Linked DNA regions of Drosophila melanogaster. The protein of the gene in region 1 interacts with the protein of each later gene in a pairwise test. Each region holds a gene or a part of one and is shown in the gene's direction. Other genes may lie near its edges.

Region 1 (5,465 bases):
TGTTCGAAATTTAAATGAAGCTCTGGTAATGAGAAACCAAGACTGTTTTTCTTTAAGCTTAATTCTAGCCCAAAAGTACGATTGCCCCAAAAGTAATAATGGAAAATTTATAATGAGTGAAATAACAATTCTAAGTCTAAGAAGAGCCCAAAGCAGTTCTGCAAAGTCCCTTTGATAATAAAACCATAAAATTCAATAGCCAAATCATAATATGCAAATGATGGCCAGTGAAAAAAACAAGGCTTAAATACTTTAAATAAGTTTGAAGCCCAGCACCCGTGGCAGAATCGACAAACTTGATGGATGGCGAAGGGATACGGAGCGTGAACTTGACTCTGAACTGTGAAAAATGGAGTGCTGATGGAAGTGTAAAAATGCCAGCATGCAGTAAAACGTCGGCCATAAAACATGTCGTACAGTTGCACATAAAAATTGGGGAAGGTGCTACCAATACCACACCTGACTAGCTGACTCGCTGACAGAATGTCAAGATCTGAGCTCGGTTTGAAATTGATTTACATGGGCCATATGGCTAAGGGCTTACCATGGGGCTTTGTTGTGTGCCAACTGCCATTAAATGGCTAATTAAGATTTCAGTCCGCTGGCAGTCGTCCAGCAGCTGGCCGCAAATCTCACGCCTTTTCAAATCCCTTTTTTTGGTACCCGATTTTCCGACCCGTTGGTATATAAAACACAAAAGCGCGCGAAGTTACACAAACAAAGGGGGGTCCAAAAAACAGGACTATCTCGCGCACACACGCAGTCACGCAAATACAGAGCTGGCGACTCCGATTGGTCCTAGTAAATATGGCGCCAAACGAGTCGAGAATGTCGCCTTTTGGTACCTCCGTTCGGTTCGGTTCCCTCTGTCACTAGCACATCTATTCCATCAGACGGCGTTTTTTCTACTGATGAATGAATCGTACGCAGGATGCCAGGATGCGGAAAGTTTCCAGCATGCCGTGGACCAACAACCGGAAAGCTTTTACTACGTTGCGAGCTTTTACCCTTACCACAAGTCCGGGAAAAAGTCCTTAGGAATTCGACGAATGCTGAATACCCATTACTTAAGTTTTTGTTTGTGAAAGGAAATTGCTGAACTTAAAACCGAAATAACAAAGTACACGCCATTTGTGTATAATCTTCTGTACATTGGCACCTAGAATGAATAAAAATATTTGTTTTTCAAAGTCCAAGTTCAAAGTTTAAAGTCAAGAATGTAAGAATACATTTTAGAAGCTCAGTCGAAATTGGTTTATTTACTGCCAAATTTACGTTGAATTATGGTTTCGGTGGAAACCAACGATTATGTACAAGCGGAATATCATCAAGCGGAAGCTGTGAGCAGGGCGGCATGGTAGGCGATGTGTTCGGCGACGAACGTGGCGATGTAGAAGTAGCTGTGATCGTATCCCTCGCGCTGCTTGAAGATGGTCTGGATGTGATCATTGCCATCTGCGGCAGCCAGCAGGTTCTCCGGCAGCAGCTGCTTGCCGGCCAGGAAGTTGTCTGCTGCACCTTGGTCGATGAAGAGCTCCTGCGGAGTGCTCTCGTACTGCGACACCAGATGCGTGGCATCCCACAGGGCCCAGTCATCCGGATTGGAGCCCAGATAGCCGGCAAAGGCCTTCTTGCCCCACGGGCACTCGGTGGGATTGGCAATCGGCGCAAAAGCGGACACCGACTGGTACAGCCCGGGATTCTTAAGCGCGCAGATCAGGGCTCCGTGGCCGCCCATACTGTGGCCGAATATACCGCGTTTACCGGGAACCACGGGCAGATTGGCATTGACCACATCCACCAGCTCCTGGGTCACATAGCTGTACATCTTGTAGTGCTTCGACCACGGCTCCTCCTTTGCATCCACATAGAATCCAGCCCCGCTTCCAAAGTCGTATGCATCATCTTGGCCGGCAATTTCCACGCCCCTGGGCGAAGTGTCCGGATTGACGACGATCAGGTTGTGGCGGGCGGCGTGCTGCTGGAATCCGCTCTTCTGGATGAAGTTCTCATGCGTGCAGGTCAGTCCGCTGAGGAAGAACAGCACCGGACACGGTTTACCCTCCAAAGCGGCCGGCGGCAGGAAGACGCCAAAGGTCATGTCGCACTTCAAGGTGTCCGAGCGATGGCGATACACGCGTTGCTCGCCCTCGAAGCACTTATTTGCGGACAGCTGTTCGAGCGTCATGTTCTGGGGGTGAAACGGAGTAAATAATTTGTAAGCTAAAACTGAAATCCATTAATTTTTAAAAACGCACTTGTTTTTTGACGATCTAAAAATAACAAGCGATAAGAAAACAGTGTGACCGCGTGTAGAGCGCCAAAAGTGGGAAGCTTTCAGAACATCTTGGTATCGATGATTAAAAGGGTAGATCCCATAGGAGTTAATATTTTCTAGAATTCTTTAAATTAATATAAATCTATTAATTATTACATATTGATGATGTATTAAATATGTAAAAATTGCAATTATTACAAACGAATATATTCCTCATAAGTAAACATTGAATTTTAATGTGCCCGTTTCATACAAAAATACTAACTCCATAACGATTGTTACGCAAGTACCATCACTAGCCGGGAAGAAGAAGCGCCAGTTGGCGAAATTGCTATTGTTAATTGTTGTTAACGTGAATTACTAGATAAGTACATAAATTTAAAAGCCGGAGAATGTCGGAAGAAGCGGCTAGCACCTCGTCCTTTGGCTTCAAGAAGCGGAACCTCAAGAAGGGAGCTGGAATTCGTCGCAAAAAGGAAACCAGCAGTGATGAATCTGGTAGGAACTTAATTTTACCGCCAACAAAGTAAATGGGCAAATATTATTGATATTCCAGCAAAAAGCAGCGATGAAGAGACCAAAGGCAAAGCCAGTGCTCTGGTGCGAGCCGAGAACCGCCGAAAGCGCACGAATCCCAACTTCCAGAGCACCAAGACAATGAGCAAAGCAAAGAGACAGGCGGGAGGAGTTGGTGATGATGGCTCATCCTCAGCCTCCGACGATGATAAACTGGGCATTGCGTACAAATCCAAACGCGAGGCGCTGCCCAGTGGACCCCAAGATCAGGGAGCTACATCGATTAACGAAATGGACACAGAATTGGATCGCGATGCGCAGGCAATTCATGCGCGAGCTCTGAAAATCAACGAAGAGCTGGAGGGCAAGGCGGACGATAAGATCTATCGCGGAATTAACAACTATGCGCAGTACTACAAGAAGCAGGATACAGCGGCAGGGAATGCCAGCTCCGGAATGGTACGAAGTGGCCCAATTAGGGCTCCTGCCCATCTTAGGGCCACTGTCAGGTGGGATTATCAGCCGGATATATGCAAGGATTACAAGGAAACAGGATATTGCGGCTTTGGCGACAGCTGTAAGTTTCTGCACGATCGCAGTGATTACAAAGCGGGCTGGCAATTGGAAATGGATCACGAAAATCAGCGAACGGGTGATGTAGACTCCGATGGCGATGATACCAAGTATGAGATTCACTCCGATGAAGAAACACTGCCTTTCAAGTGCCACATCTGCCGACAGAGTTTTGTCAATCCCGTGGTAACAAAGTATGAAGATGATAACGATTTCTAAACTGGATTTACTGAATAAATAACATATTTATCTTTCTTCCAGGTGCAAGCACTATTTCTGTGAAAAGTGCGCCTTGGCCCAGTACAAAAAGTCACAGCGCTGCATCATCTGTTCCCAGCAAACAAATGGTATTTTCAATCCCGCCAAAGAGCTGATAGCTCGCCTCAAGACAAACCCAATGGAAAACTCAGATAGTGATGAGGAGGAGGAATTTGGGAAAAAGGAGGATAAAGCGGAAGCAGGGGAGGAAGCTCAGGAGATTTCTTCGGATGATAGTGATTAAAATATTTTTTTAAATCATTTATACAGGTTGTGAAAGTAAATAGGGACATTGATTAGATGCTTCACATAAAATCCATTTTACAGCACATTTGCCGCATAAGTGTAGAAAGTAAAGTAAGGATTGTACCACCGATAGGTGGCGTGTAAGAAATTGTAAAACCCTTTGCCCCAAAGAGAATTGCTGATAAATCACTATTCTTACTTGTAACTAGAAAAATATATTTTGATAAGTTTTCAACCAAGAAATACTAGTTCTGTGGTATTTATTAAAATTTTTACTTATTTTTGGGCGATCTATTACGATTGGTTAACATACAAATTATGCACAGCAGTTCATCTGTAAGTTGTTTTAACACGTATATATGTATGTATTCATTATTATTTATAATTCATACTAAAATTTGATACATAGGGACGGGACTGGAAAGTTAATCGTGAAAAGCATTTTATAAAATTAATCACAACGAGGATTTTATATTAATGTTTAGTCCGCAGGACCTAAAAGCCTTACTCACCTCGGTCATAATGTGGCCAAAACTGAGCACAATGCTCCGTCGCTTGGGAAGATTTGAACAGGCGACTATGGAATATACGAATGAGCTTCTACCACTCACACTGGGCAGACGAAGGAAATTTCTTCCCATTCCCAAGGGAGCTGCAATAACTTTGTGATTTCGATCGAGTATTGCTTGACGTTTGAAACGATCAAAGGCCAACTTTGACCAAATTTAAACTTGGCAAGCAACTGAAACTACTGCCTTCTTGAAGCGGCAAAATTTTGGCCCAATCTTATAGCCATAATTTAATTGTCAGCACTTTCATTTCCCGTTTCGCTCGCATCAGAAAGCACAGGCACAGAAAGTAGGGGAATTGGAAGCTGGGAAACGTAGTAAAGCGGGCCAAACTTATACGGAAGTGAATTCGTTTGACTTTTGCCCGCTAAAATCAAAACCTCCTGCCAAACTTCTAGGCCGCATTGTTTCACAGCACAAAGCCGAAATATTGGCCAGTGGTAACGAATCGATGCTTAGCCACAAATTCCAAAATCCATCCGGCTTCTCTGCCCACCCTTTTTCCCTAGCTCCGAGCATGCAAAATATGAGCACATAAGCCTTTAAAAGCAGCCCAGCTGCCCAGGATGAGCAAAAAGGATAAAACTTCTATTTTCCAGGATCCTAGCTGCCACAATGTCGAGCCGATTTTATTGGAGGGGTTTATGCAGAAGGTTTGCCTGTTCCTCTGGTTACGCATAATACTTTTACCTCGTTTGTATACACCATTCACATTTCTTTAAGACAGCCACTATTCAGATGCTGGTAATTGCTGCAGTAGGGAAATTTGCCTCTGCTGTGGATTTTTCCAAGGATAACAATCATCAAGCTGGCTCACGGCTATTAGGTCACGTTCGCATTTTCTCACATTTTATGTGCCACTCACTTATTGGCAGTGCAATGGTTAATTGAATGACAAAGTCGTGCATGAAGAACGCAACCTAATTGAGGAGGAGGCAATAATTGTTTCGACCTGCAAATCAGTTTTAATTATTTCCATAAATGCGAAAGTGAGCGGCAGACGTGAGCTCTGAAATTTTATACTT
Region 2 (6,307 bases), on another chromosome or scaffold:
TGCGCCAATGCTTGAAAAACCAAAAGCTGTTAATTACTCTGGAAATGATTAAATATATCTTGAAAATCAAATGCAACAGCCGCAGCCAAACCGAAATTGAAATTCATATTATTATGAGAGCAAATCGTGACAGCCCCTCTTTTTCGGCACAGTGGTACAAACTTGACGAATTAGTCAACGAATTAGTAAGCGCCCACTGTTCGTAAAATCTTTCCCAATCGAATACACCTATAATATTCAGATAATCTTCATTGTTGAACATTTGAACTGTTTTGAGGAATGAGATTTGACACAAGTTCAAGTGAAATTGGTAGTATGTACATACATACGTTTGTATATGGTATATAACCACTTGAGTTTACAATTATAAAACAAGCAATCTATGAATGATTTCCCTATCTTATGGGAAACTTATCTGTGAATTATTGATATTTTGTTAGGGTTTTAAAACATGTAGATTCGTACTCGACACAGAACAATCTAAATAGTATAGATACTTAATGAGCTTGCAGATAGTTAGTTCCCTTGTGTATATCAATCCCTTATGTTGGAGGCAGCTCTACTATATGGTATATGCTATGTGTATGTATGGTATATATATAGGTGGGTATATGGAGTTCTAGTCCCACGGTGCGTGTTGTTTAGCCTCTTAAAATGCACTCGCCGCTAAGCATTATGCATAGTTCGAGCTGCACTTACGATCTATAAACTGGCGCAAAAGTAGTGCAAAAGTAATTGTTGCCACGCACTGAACTCGTTGATAACCGCCGGCAGTCGGCGGGGTCTGCGATTACGAGATCCAGGCGGACGGTCGCAGCTAACCCGTCTAACTAGTTGACTTTGGGGGGGCACTTAATCCGCGACGCCCAGGCCCGCGTGGCACCACTCCGTTGGAGTACAGGCAGGCGACTCCAGCGCTGACCAGCGCCAGTTCTGATTGGAACGGCCTTTCGAGCGGTACACACATACTCTTTGATCCGTCAGGATGAGGATGTTACGTCTGCAGTTGATGGCCCTGCTGTTGGTGGGCCTGCTCCTGGCGCTGATCTCAGCCGATCCTGGGCCGCAGGACACGGAGGTGGCGCGAGAAAAGCGAGGCACCATCACCCTGGACTTTGGCCTGCTCCTGCGTAACCTGCTGCTCAAGAGCGCCCAGCTGTCCTCGGCTAAGGCCAATCTGGCGCGGACCACACGTCGTCCACCGACGACCACCACGACGACGCCGCCTCCGCCACCACCACCTGCTCCGATACGCATTCGTAAGCCCATCTGGCATCCGTTCTTCAGTTCCGGTTTCCTGCCCGGGGCCTTCGATGTGGACTACGCTGATCCTCCGGCACCACGACCTCCAGCGCCTGCGCCGCCCACTACACAGCCACCTAGACGCGTCCGACCGCAGGTGCGACCACGTCCACGCCCAACGACACTGGCACCGCCTCCTCCGCCGAACTATGACTACGACTATGACTATGATGCGCAGCCAGCGGCGCCAGCTGAACCTCCACCGCCTCCACCTCCTCCGCCGCCGCCCACAGCTCCGCCACGCCCAAGGCCACGGCCGCGCCCACGACCCCAGCAGCCCGATCCTCAACAGCGGCGTCCCGCCCAGCTGGGCGACCGCCTTATCTATCAGTACGCACAACCTACTGGTAAAATACGAAACCTCTTAACTAACTGCCGTACAATTGGGTTCTCTCCGACACTTTGCAGATACCTTCTTTAGGTCGCGAGCCGTGGCGGAGGCGACGGCGGCGGCTGACCCAGACAGCGGAGACTTAGTTGACTCCCAGGACCCGGACTCAGTTGCCGATCCGGATGCGGCTGCATTTCCTGTCACTGCAGATGGGCCTGACTCCCAACCTGCTTCTCCCCCACCAAGTGCTTCGCGATTTTTGGTCAACTACGAGAGCGATGACGACTTTGGGCAGCCGTTTGCTGGACAGCGGGCTCAGGATGCGGGTCAGGATGGGGGTCAGGATCAGGGTTCAGCGGGTGCTTCTGGTATTCCCGCATCATCCCAAGGCTACTTCCCGCCCCTCGAGCTTGGCAACACGAATCGCTTCCCAACTTTCAATCAGCAGCAGTACTTCTATAATTAAGCGGTAGAGTTTCTCATTTTTCCAACGTGGGCAATAAAATTAACTTCGCAGCTTGATATATTATGTGTATGTACATATGTATAGCTTATGTGTTGCAGTGTGCTTAAAATTGAACATAAACTATTTTAAATATAAGCATCCATTTTTTTGTATTCCCAGTTTGCATAGTTGTAAATAACATATCAAATAAAGTAATAATGTAAGTTCCCCGTAATTTATATTAACTAGGAGGGCGTTAAATAGCTAAGTAAATACCGTATCATGAAATTATCAGTATGTTTTCAAAAAGTGCGCCAAACTTGTTGCGATGAGTATCGGTATTTGACTTAGCGAACTGAGCTATTAAAAAGTTATTAAAAATTTGATACATATATGTGTTCTTCTAACATAGATACCCAACTGCGATTTCGTGAGCTGTAATTCTGCAGAATTCTGTATAAGTTAAATTATTGATTTTCAAACATTAAAAAAAAAAACTAATAATTCCAAAACGATAGCGTAACCACGGACATCACCACCCGGTGCACGTTCGATAGACTATCGATAGAGACCAAAAAACGAACCTTTTCTCTTAAAACTAATTGAATTGAGCGAATTCAACTATAAAAACGCCTCTGCAAGAGTTAACTTCGCAAACATATTGAAAAAAATAAGTTAATTTTAAATATATCGCCTAAAATCGGGATTTTTTAGTAAAAAGCGGTCAGTGGTAGTTTTTGGTTTCAAGCCGCTCGGCTGATCTGGTAACACTGTGTGCTGTGTGAACGTGAACTTTACGGAATTTAATTAGAGAAACGGGTGAAGAAAAGTTGCAAATAGACAATCGCTGCCAATTTTCCATGCCGTAGATGGGTGCATCTGCGACGTAACGATCCCCCGAATTCGGTGCTTGGCACTCGAGATGTGTAGCCAGTGCGGATTCGTGAACGCAACGCGTGTGCAGTGCAGGGCAATAGTTGCCATTCCCAGTAGCAGTATCACTACCACTACCAGTCCCATTCCGATTCCCGTTCCCAGTCGCAGCAGGGCCAATAACAGCAGCAGCGGTCGTAGGGAAAGCGACGTATGAAAGGGAAAAATGCATACAGATGCGAAAAGCGAGACCCAGTTGCGCCGATAAACAAGCAAGCACTAATTGATTGCCAAATGTAAGCCCTCGAACGCAGTGGAAAAAGTTCAAACGTTTTTTCTTTTTCGCCTCGCCAGATTTATGCATTTTCCACTGTCTCTCCATCCCTGTGTGCGTGTGTGCCTGTGTGTGTGAATGCGTATGCTCGTGTACGTGTGTGTATGTGCATACTGTTCTTTTTCGCGTTTGCGTTTTGGCCAATAAATGCGAATTTCTTGTGTGCCATCTGCCCATTGAATTAACAATGTGGTATTATCATTGATCCCACAAATTTCAATCAAATACAGCGCATTTGCGGGTTCTGAGTGCTACATCTGATTTCGGTGCGACGACTCCCTCAACGCGCGAGAACGGGATAGCACCAGTCGAACCATACGAATGTGTGTGTATTTGTCTGCTCCCCCGACGAGCGTGAGTGTGTGTGTGTGCAAGCAAAACAAAATTAGGCGATTCAAAACAGTTGCAAAATGCAGCGAAATAAGCCAATTTTAATCGCAACACATAGATCAACCATGGTAATCAGTCAATAAGTGGTCAGTCAACGAAGAAAACCAACAACTGGCGCAGCATCACCGCCTTCGTGCGTTCTTTTTCGGCTCCTTCGGTGTGTGCCTAGTCCGCACCCAAGGAAAAGCCAACCCAACTGAAAATCAATTCGAATCGCAGAACTCTTTGGTATTCTACTACAATTCCCTGTGACGGAGCGCCACAGCACAGTGCAAGCCACGGAAAAGGCACGAATTGAATTGAATTTGTGTCGCCCGAAATGCAAAACAACAAGCAATCCCACCGCACATATACATATAGAGCGCGCGCGTGAGTGTGTGTGAGCGACATGGCTGCTCTTTGTGCAATAGTGTGGTGGCTATGAAAAATAGGCGTGTTTCTGTTTCGCGTCGCAGGCAAAGAATTGCAGTCGCCGCACCACAGCGGACTAATTGTATTGAGAATTTTTGCCAGGCGGCGATAGGCGAAAGCCGGAGCTCCGACGGGGGCCAAAATCCGCGTCTTTAGCCGGCGGATATCCGCAGACGCCCGCAAAACGCCTCCGCATGCACAGACATGCATACTCCAATGTATGCATGTGTGTGTGTGTATTTGGATTCGCAACGGCGATAAATGCACCCCTTTGGTGCCGTTACTCCTTGGCAGCTCGCGTGTGTTTGTGTGTCAGTCGTAACGACCTTTGATTACCCTGCAGCACGTGTGCATACCCTACACCTAGCTAGTTAGTCCAGCTTGACCACAAATACCGCCCTACTGCACGTGCGCATCCACTCCACTCATTACTTGTTCGAAATCCAAGCAAATGAACTTAACGGCGTTAGTCATACCGACTGCCAAATGCCCTAGACCACTTACACCCCAGCTGTCGTAATCTGGCCAAAAAGCAGCTGACAAGTTGGTAACAAGCTGAGGAAAATAGCCTGGCCATAAAAGACGGTGCCAACAGTGAATATATTTGCGATAAGGCCGTGCTGCGTGCGGAATTCGGAGTTTTGAATGATTCGTACAGTATGTGCGAGCATGAATCACTTGATCGATTTGATGATAGTCGGCTTTTAGCTGTTCCCATCCGTCCGTCCGTTTGACCGTCTCCCCATGCAAATGCTGACCAAAGCACAGTGCCCACTGTCCACTGGCCCAGCCATTCCCGCTACGCCCCGTGCCGCCCAATTCAATTGGTCCGCAGTCTCAGCGTTTCAGCCTGAAATCCCCCAAAAATGTCGACCCTTTGAACATGACTAAGTGACTGGCGCAGGCTGTGAATGTGACTGACTAACCGGAATCGCCTTTTTTTCGCCCCACCCGATCCGCACAGAACTTCAAGACAGCAGAGTAGCCAGCTGGAGCTGCAAGCTGCGAGGAGAAGCACGCAGGTCGACCACTGAGAGAGCTGGGCTAGAGCATGAAAGACAGCCATGCCTTCGGCACGACCTGGTAGTCTCAAGGATCCGGAAATAGCCGACCTATTCAACAAGCATGACCCGGAGAAAATCTTCGAGGACCTGCGCGAAATCGGCCATGGGTCTTTCGGCGCGGTCTATTATGCGCGATGCAACCTCACCAGGGAGATCGTGGCCATCAAAAAGATGTCGTACACCGGCAAGCAGAGCCAGGAGAAGTGGCAGGATATTCTCAAAGAGATACGGTGAGCACTGGCTGACACTTGCGTTCGCCCGAGTGACTTCTAATCAATTTATGTGTACACAACAGCTTCCTTCGCCAATTGAACCACCCGAACACCATAGAATACAAGGGATGCTATTTGCGCGAATCAACCGCCTGGCTGGTGATGGAGTACTGCGTGGGCTCCGCCTCGGACATCATCGAGGTGCACAAGAAGCCGCTGCACGAGGACGAGATCGCCGCCATCTGTCTGGGCGTGCTCAGTGGGTTGAGCTATCTGCACTCGCTGGGCCGCATCCACCGTGACATCAAGGCGGGCAACATCCTGCTCACGGACAACGGCGTCGTCAAGCTGGCCGATTTCGGTAGCGCTGCCATCAAGTGTCCGGCCAACAGTTTTGTCGGCACGCCCTATTGGATGGCGCCCGAGGTGATCCTGGCCATGGACGAGGGCCAATACGACGGCAAGGTGGACGTGTGGTCGCTGGGCATCACCTGCATCGAACTGGCAGAGCGCAAGCCTCCCTACTTTAACATGAACGCCATGTCGGCGCTCTACCACATTGCGCAGAATGAGTCGCCGACTCTTCCGGTGAGTAGCAATCGAAGTTTTAATTTCTTGGTAGGAGTCTGTTTTGATAGCAAAACTGAAGTATGCCAATGTATTTATTTACGTATCGCTCTCATGTGTCCCTAGTGTTATTGTTTTATTTCCCACTTTTGGGGCTGGGGCAAGTTATATTTTACCCATTTGTATAGTAGAGCCTCCAGATTCTGCTTAAAAAAGTGTTTATGATTCAGAACTTTGTAAAGCAATTTTAAAGTAAACTAAGTAAGTGCAATTTGAATGTTATAAACAATTATCAAACCTATTCGATTTCAACCCGACAGAAGAACGACTGGTCGGATGCGTTTTGCAGCTTTGTTGAACTGTGCCTCAAGAAGATGC
Region 3 (6,093 bases), on another chromosome or scaffold:
GATAGGGCGATAATGACTATTTTGCGGAGCATCTGGAAAATAGGAAAAAAGTTATAAACGATTTTAATAAATTTAAAAATTTTCTTTGTCCTACCACACAGTGCTGGCAGAATTGGAATTTCCATTTCCTTGATTATGTTGCGTTTGCTGCCACCATGGCGACAATACAGCTGGCTAAAGACCTCGCGCCAAATCTGCAAAAACTGCGGAGTGACGTGTAACCAACGTTCCAGGGCATCGTTGGGCATAGTGTGCTCTAGCTCCTTGCCCAGATTTCTCATAAGGCCCTTGGCAAATGTGGCGGCGGACCTTTCCGTGGTGTTAAAGCCAAGATCGTGCCACTCCTTGATGCCAGAGTTTTTCGCTGTACTTTCCAAGTGCACGTAGCTCTTGATCACCGAGTAGATATACTGGGGAATTATAAAATTGATTAATTCGCGAGCAAAAGATAAAAGAATTAAATAAACAAGTTGTTCATATGACAGCTAAGAAAATAAACGTGGAAATCTAGTTTTCAGGATAAACATAAATGGAGAGCTAAACCTAATTCAATAACAAACATGTTATGAATCCTAATGAGGCTCGGCTGACAGAAGTTATAAATATTATTTCCGCGATCTGATGACAATGACTACTTATTTATAGACTCACTTGCTCCAATTGCTTGCTGTTGAAGGTGTCATTTCCACTTCTCTCCATTGAGCCCAGGAGCATTTGCATTTTCTGGTCAATAGTACCGCGTTCCATGATGTAGTAGGGCTCTCCAAATTTCTTCAGCTGAAGGTTGACACATTGCTGACCTGGCTTCGTGGGCGTAAATAGATACTGAGCCGTACTTTCGGCCAGGGATCTTTCGATGGTTTGCGACCAAGTTTCCTATTTTCGAAACAAAACAACAGATACATGTATATGTGTGTACATAAACAAAATGCGCGCCGGATACGTAAACATAATTTTCCCGCTGCTGTCAGCAAATTCTTGCAGGGAACGAAGGTCTGGGAAGCGCTGACACAGATTAACCCATTGAAGGACGTACAATGAATAATAATTTGGTTTGACTGAAAACAAAGTCTCTCAAGTTTTATGAAAATAAATACTACTTCAATGTATGTAAAGTTTCAATTTAGAGAGTTTCCGCTTAAATTACTCTATATGAATGCAAGTCTTATAATTTCCTCATTCTAAAAATCAACTATTTCACATGCCATGCTGTAAACGGGTTAAGCATATGGTTTATTTTTAATTCAATTGGGTTTGGCCCTAATTGACGACCCCAGTCATTGAAATCACGACTAATTCGTTAGCAAGCAAATTCAACAAAGCAAAAGACAAACAGTGAAATGCGGCAGCAAACAAATTAGACAAATTATGGACACGTTCGCACTGGCCCAGGAATTATCAATTCGAAACTGATAACGCCCGAGTTGAAGATATCGAATTTTGCTATACCCTAGGAAGCGCTGTGATAATCAAACACGAGCTATAAATAGATGGAAATATTATAAGGAAAAATCATCATCTGGTTACAAACAAACATTTTTTGAGTGGTTGCATTTCCGTCATCTGTGCTGTGATAAAAATAAAACACAAATCTGGGGCCTTGAACCCGCATCGGAAAAATTATAGCATAAATTGTGTATGATCAGATTGATTTAACTAAATGGGTTAAAATAACAATTTTGGAAAGTTACGTGTACATTTAATCTAAATAGGACTGACTAGTTTAGAAAATTACATTTTTAAACAAGTTGAATAATTTACTTTTTATAAACTCTGTTAAATTTCCTGGTTTGCACTTTAAATCGAAAAAGAACTGTATTAAAATAAGGTTTAGAAACTTTGAACTTTTGTATAATGCCGGATAATGTTGCGACTCACTCTCTTATATAACTAAGCTTCTTTTTCGGAACATAGTACTATGATTAACTTCAATGTTTAATCCTCGAAATAGGAGTTAGTGACAACAACAAATTAATGCCCTAAAGGATATACCCATTCAAGTGAAGGGTGGCCATCGCAGCAGGTGGATGGACGGCCGTTTGTCATGCACTCGAAAGTCCCGATTTCTCTTTTTTTGCCGAAGAAAGTTCACTCCGCGCGTCCTTGAACTTGTGACCCTGACCCTTCCGCAAATGCAGAATGCAGTTGCCATTGATTTTCGCAGTGCACACGTGGCACGGTAACTGGATTTACTTGACTTACCACCAATCTGTCTTGGGTCAACTTCTCAAGTGCTCCGCCAGAGGCGTTTTTGTACGCGGATTCCAGCATGCGTAGCTCTTCCGAATTGTAGAGATTATCCGTCTCCCGCTTGCCACTCGCATTTCCCATCTCAGGACACGAAATTCAGTTGGCTGGTGCTACGACGGCTGGTAAACAAACAATGCAGCTGCAGCTGCGGATGATCGCGGATTTTAATTGAAAATAAAAAACAAACAACACAAGCTGGTGATGGAATGGCAGTCGATTTCCCTGCGATACCCTCGATAGTTTCGGAAACGGGTAAATTTCGCGGTGGTCGTCTGCACTATGAATGGTTATTGTCTGTGCTAAGTCAGGTCGATGTATTTGCTAAACGGTTAATTTTAACCGCTAAGCGAATTCAACGAAGGCCAAGCGAATAAAATAAATTTTAAATGCCTTGGATAGCTGTAGTTAAAAATTTATTAAAATAAAAAAAAACTTACAAGTTTGAGCTAAGATACCTTTGCCCTAGCCCGGTATTTTTGAAATTATCTCAGTTACCTTAGCAACACGCCTTATTAAATCAATTGCCTGGCCTAATAAAGTTCTCCCACACAAAAACACAATAAATTCCGATACAAAACTGAAGAAAGCTGGCATACCGACAGATATTTCCGGAATACGATTGGCCAAATCTGTGAGTAATCCAACGCGAAAGGATGATTGGCACTAGCAGCGGAACGTCCCACAATCGGAGTCGAAAGAAGAAAGAACAGTGCGGATCCTGTCCCAACAGATTCTCAAAGGATAAGCGCCAGGTGGCCGCCGAGGACTCGGATACCACGGAGGTGGAATCGTCTACGGATGAGGAGGAACGCTGGAAGGAAGTGGCGCGAGCCGCTGAGATTCCGGCTGACTATTATAATATCCAAAAACTGGTGAAATACATCAAGGCGGGCAATCAGACAGCCACTATAGTATCGTTGTGCTGCTTGAAGGACTACGATCTGAGCACCCAGATCAATCAGTTCGCCATCTCGGACATCGGCGGACTCGATGTCTTGGTTAACATCCTGGAGTGCAGCGACACCAAGTGCTGTTTGGGCGCCCTCAAAGTTCTCTCAGATATCACACTGAACATCGATATTAGGAAGACCATCGTAGATCTGGATGGCATTCCCCTCATTGTGGACATCCTAAACTCTTCCATGAAGGACCTAAAAACCATGGCCGCCGAGACATTGGCCAATGTGTGCAAGGTGCGACTGGCCAGAAAGTATGTGCGCACCTGCGGAGGAATCCCCAAGCTGGTGGATCTCATCGACATCAAGTTGAGGTGAGTTGGCATTGGATAAAGTGCTTCATACTACATCACCACATATAAGAAATAATTAAAAAAAAACCTAATTATATTATAGCATTCTAAAGACGCCTCGTGACCAATTGAGTCCAGATGATCTGGAATCTCTCGATATGACACGCGCTGGAGCCCGGGCTCTTTTCACTCTGGCCGATTCCAAGCACAACATGGAGCAGATGCGCAAGAGCGGAATTGTTCCTTTGATGGCTCAGCTCCTTAAGTCCTGTCACATCGATGTCGTCATTCCCATAATGGGCACCGTTCGAAAGTGCTCCTCGGAGCCGAAGTTCCAACTGGCCATCACCACCGAGGGCATGATTCCCGACATTGTGAGCCATCTGAGTTCCGAAAATACCGAGCTGAAGATGGAGGGCAGTACAGCGATCTACAAGTGCGCCTTCGACGGAACCACCAGGGATTTGGTGAGGGAGGCTGGGGGCTTGGAACCTTTGGTAACTATCATAAAGGACAAGAATGTGAGGGAAAATAAGCCTTTATTGAGAGGCGCCACTGGAGCGATTTGGATGTGTGCCGTAACCGATGCAAATGTCAAAGTGCTGGATCAACTCAGGACGGTGAACCACCTGGTGGCCTTGCTAAATGATGAGTGTGACGAGGTCCTGACCAACGTGACCGGAGCTATATCTGAATGTGTGAGATTTCAAAGCAATAGGGAGCAACTGCGTCAGGCTGGAGGATTACCAGCAATGGTTTCCCTACTCAACAGTTCTCACGCCCCTCTTCTGGAAAATTTAGCCAAGGGATTGAAGGAGTGTGCCGAAGATCCGGACAGCATGAGAATCCTTGAGGATCTGGATGCGGTCAGGCTGATATGGTCGCTATTGAAGAACCCCACAACTAGGGTTCAGGCCCATGCGGCTTACGCCATATGTCCCTGTGTTCGAAATGCCAACGATTCCGCTGAATTGGTCAGGAGCTTGGTTGGCGCCATGGAACTGGTGGTGGGTCTGCTAAAGTCCAAGGATATCATGGTCTTATCCGCCGTTTGTGCTGCCATTGCAACAATTGCCCAGGATCAAACCAATCTAGCCATCTTAACCGATCTGAAAGTCATCTACAAGCTAGCCGATCTCGTCCAGACCACCGACGACCTCCTTCGAATGAACTTGGCAGCTGCCGTGGCCGCCTGTGCCTGCTTCGGTAATAATACGGAGGAACTGGGACGTCTGCGTACTGTCACTCCGATTGTCACCTACATGACCAGCGACAATCCCTTGGTGCACCGCAGCACGGCCATGGCACTGGAGAAGCTATCGATGGATCCGCAGAACTGCATTACCATGCACCAGGTACATTTCTTCTACCTAATCACACTTAGCAACTCATTTAGATTCTTTTATTTTACTTCAGAGTGGAGTTGTTCCTTTCCTGCTGGAGTGCATTGGATCCACTAACAAGGAGCTCCAGTTGGCCGCCGCTGGTTGTCTGCGCAATATCCGCGAATTGGCCTTGCGTGCCGAGGAATATCTGCTTAAAATCGACGATGACTAGCTTCCTGTTTTTTTTTCTTTGTTAAGTTATTTAATTGTATTTGACGAAATATATGTGTGTATGCCGATGCTACCAATTTCTTGCATTTTTAGCAAATAAATTAATAAGTTAGTAAATTTTTAAACCAGAAATCCCAGAAAAATATGTTTCATTTTCCATGACAATAACATCTAGCTATATAATTATATATTTGTCGCTACATATTTTGACTAACTAAGCTCGACCCACCCTGCATAAAATTCCACTCTAGTAACTGGCATTACTGCCCCTGGTGGAAATGCTCATCCGTCGCTCCACGCGATTCGTGTGTGGCAGCAGGCATCCCGGCGGTGGATACCGCCATCTACGTGGTCGGGACAACAGGGTGCCGTCCGTCGAAGCTCTACTACGGAAGGGAGCATCGATGTCGCTGCGTGAGCTGCTCAAACTGCTACTCGTAATCTCATCCGTAGACTCCGTATGGTCACCGTTGCTCTCCTCCAAACAGGCGCTTCCGATGACCAGAAAGGAATGTCGACCGACGCCCAAAGACGAGGCATCGTAGAAGGAACAGGATCCCGAATCGGGCGTGAGGATTCCATCCGTATTGGCCACATCGCTGGTGGAGCGCTTGAGCTTGGGGAATTTGCTGAAGACTCGCCAGAAGCGAAACACATCGCGAAAAACATTCTGCACCTGGTTGGAATGAGTGAATAAACAAATCGTATATTTATAAGGTGCCATGTGATGGTAAATGGAAGATTAATTTATCAGACAAAAGTTTAATTTCACTTCACCTTAATAAAGAAATCTTTTGTAAGAAAATTTTTCCTCTTACTTGATCCACGCTCTCTCTGACGGAAATCTCGTGAAAACAGGAGCAGGATAACTCCCTGAATCGGCGCTGACCCTCTTCCAAGCTGACCATTCGATCGCCCGGCTGATCTGTCTTATTGCCCACCAGTATGACAGGAATATCCAGTGCGTATTCCTGGAAATATGGTATATAAATAAGCTTCCTATAGGTGGTTCAAAATTAAGTAATTTACTAACTTTAC

Evidence for each region.
Region 2: the proteins of mdlc (region 1) and Tao interact in a two-hybrid assay, tested with the Drosophila melanogaster proteins (one large-scale study listed by BioGRID).
Region 3: the proteins of mdlc (region 1) and gudu interact in a two-hybrid assay, tested with the Drosophila melanogaster proteins (one large-scale study listed by BioGRID).

What each region holds. Positions count from the first base shown.
Region 1 is NT_033777.3:20,055,184-20,060,648, forward strand, and holds mdlc (midlife crisis), read left to right. Parts: upstream 1-2,564; 5' UTR 2,565-2,670; coding exon 2,671-2,776; intron 2,777-2,834; coding exon 2,835-3,561; intron 3,562-3,628; coding exon 3,629-3,869; 3' UTR 3,870-4,108; downstream 4,109-5,465. Other genes in the region: CG4390 (uncharacterized protein), read right to left, coding at 1,328-2,191, 4,384-4,512.
Region 2 is NC_004354.4:19,576,338-19,582,644, reverse strand, and holds the start of Tao (Tao), read left to right. Parts: upstream 1-2,844; 5' UTR 2,845-3,247; intron 3,248-4,142; exon of another isoform or gene 4,143-4,743; intron 4,744-5,050; 5' UTR 5,051-5,150; coding exon 5,151-5,380; intron 5,381-5,445; coding exon 5,446-5,950; intron 5,951-6,249; coding exon 6,250-6,307. Other genes in the region: CG14218 (uncharacterized protein), read left to right, coding at 986-1,649, 1,711-2,099. UniProt on the Drosophila melanogaster protein: Serine/threonine-protein kinase which regulates the Hippo/SWH (Sav/Wts/Hpo) signaling pathway, a signaling pathway that plays a pivotal role in organ size control and tumor suppression by restricting proliferation and promoting apoptosis.
Region 3 is NT_033779.5:7,385,773-7,391,865, forward strand, and holds gudu (gudu), read left to right. Parts: upstream 1-2,735; 5' UTR 2,736-2,903; coding exon 2,904-3,520; intron 3,521-3,602; coding exon 3,603-4,854; intron 4,855-4,915; coding exon 4,916-5,056; 3' UTR 5,057-5,130; downstream 5,131-6,093. Other genes in the region: CG5149 (uncharacterized protein), read right to left, coding at 1-32, 95-410, 652-876, 2,203-2,331; CG5160 (uncharacterized protein), read right to left, coding at 5,303-5,731, 5,874-6,026, 6,089-6,093. UniProt on the Drosophila melanogaster protein: Important for spermatogenesis where it may have a role in sperm individualization.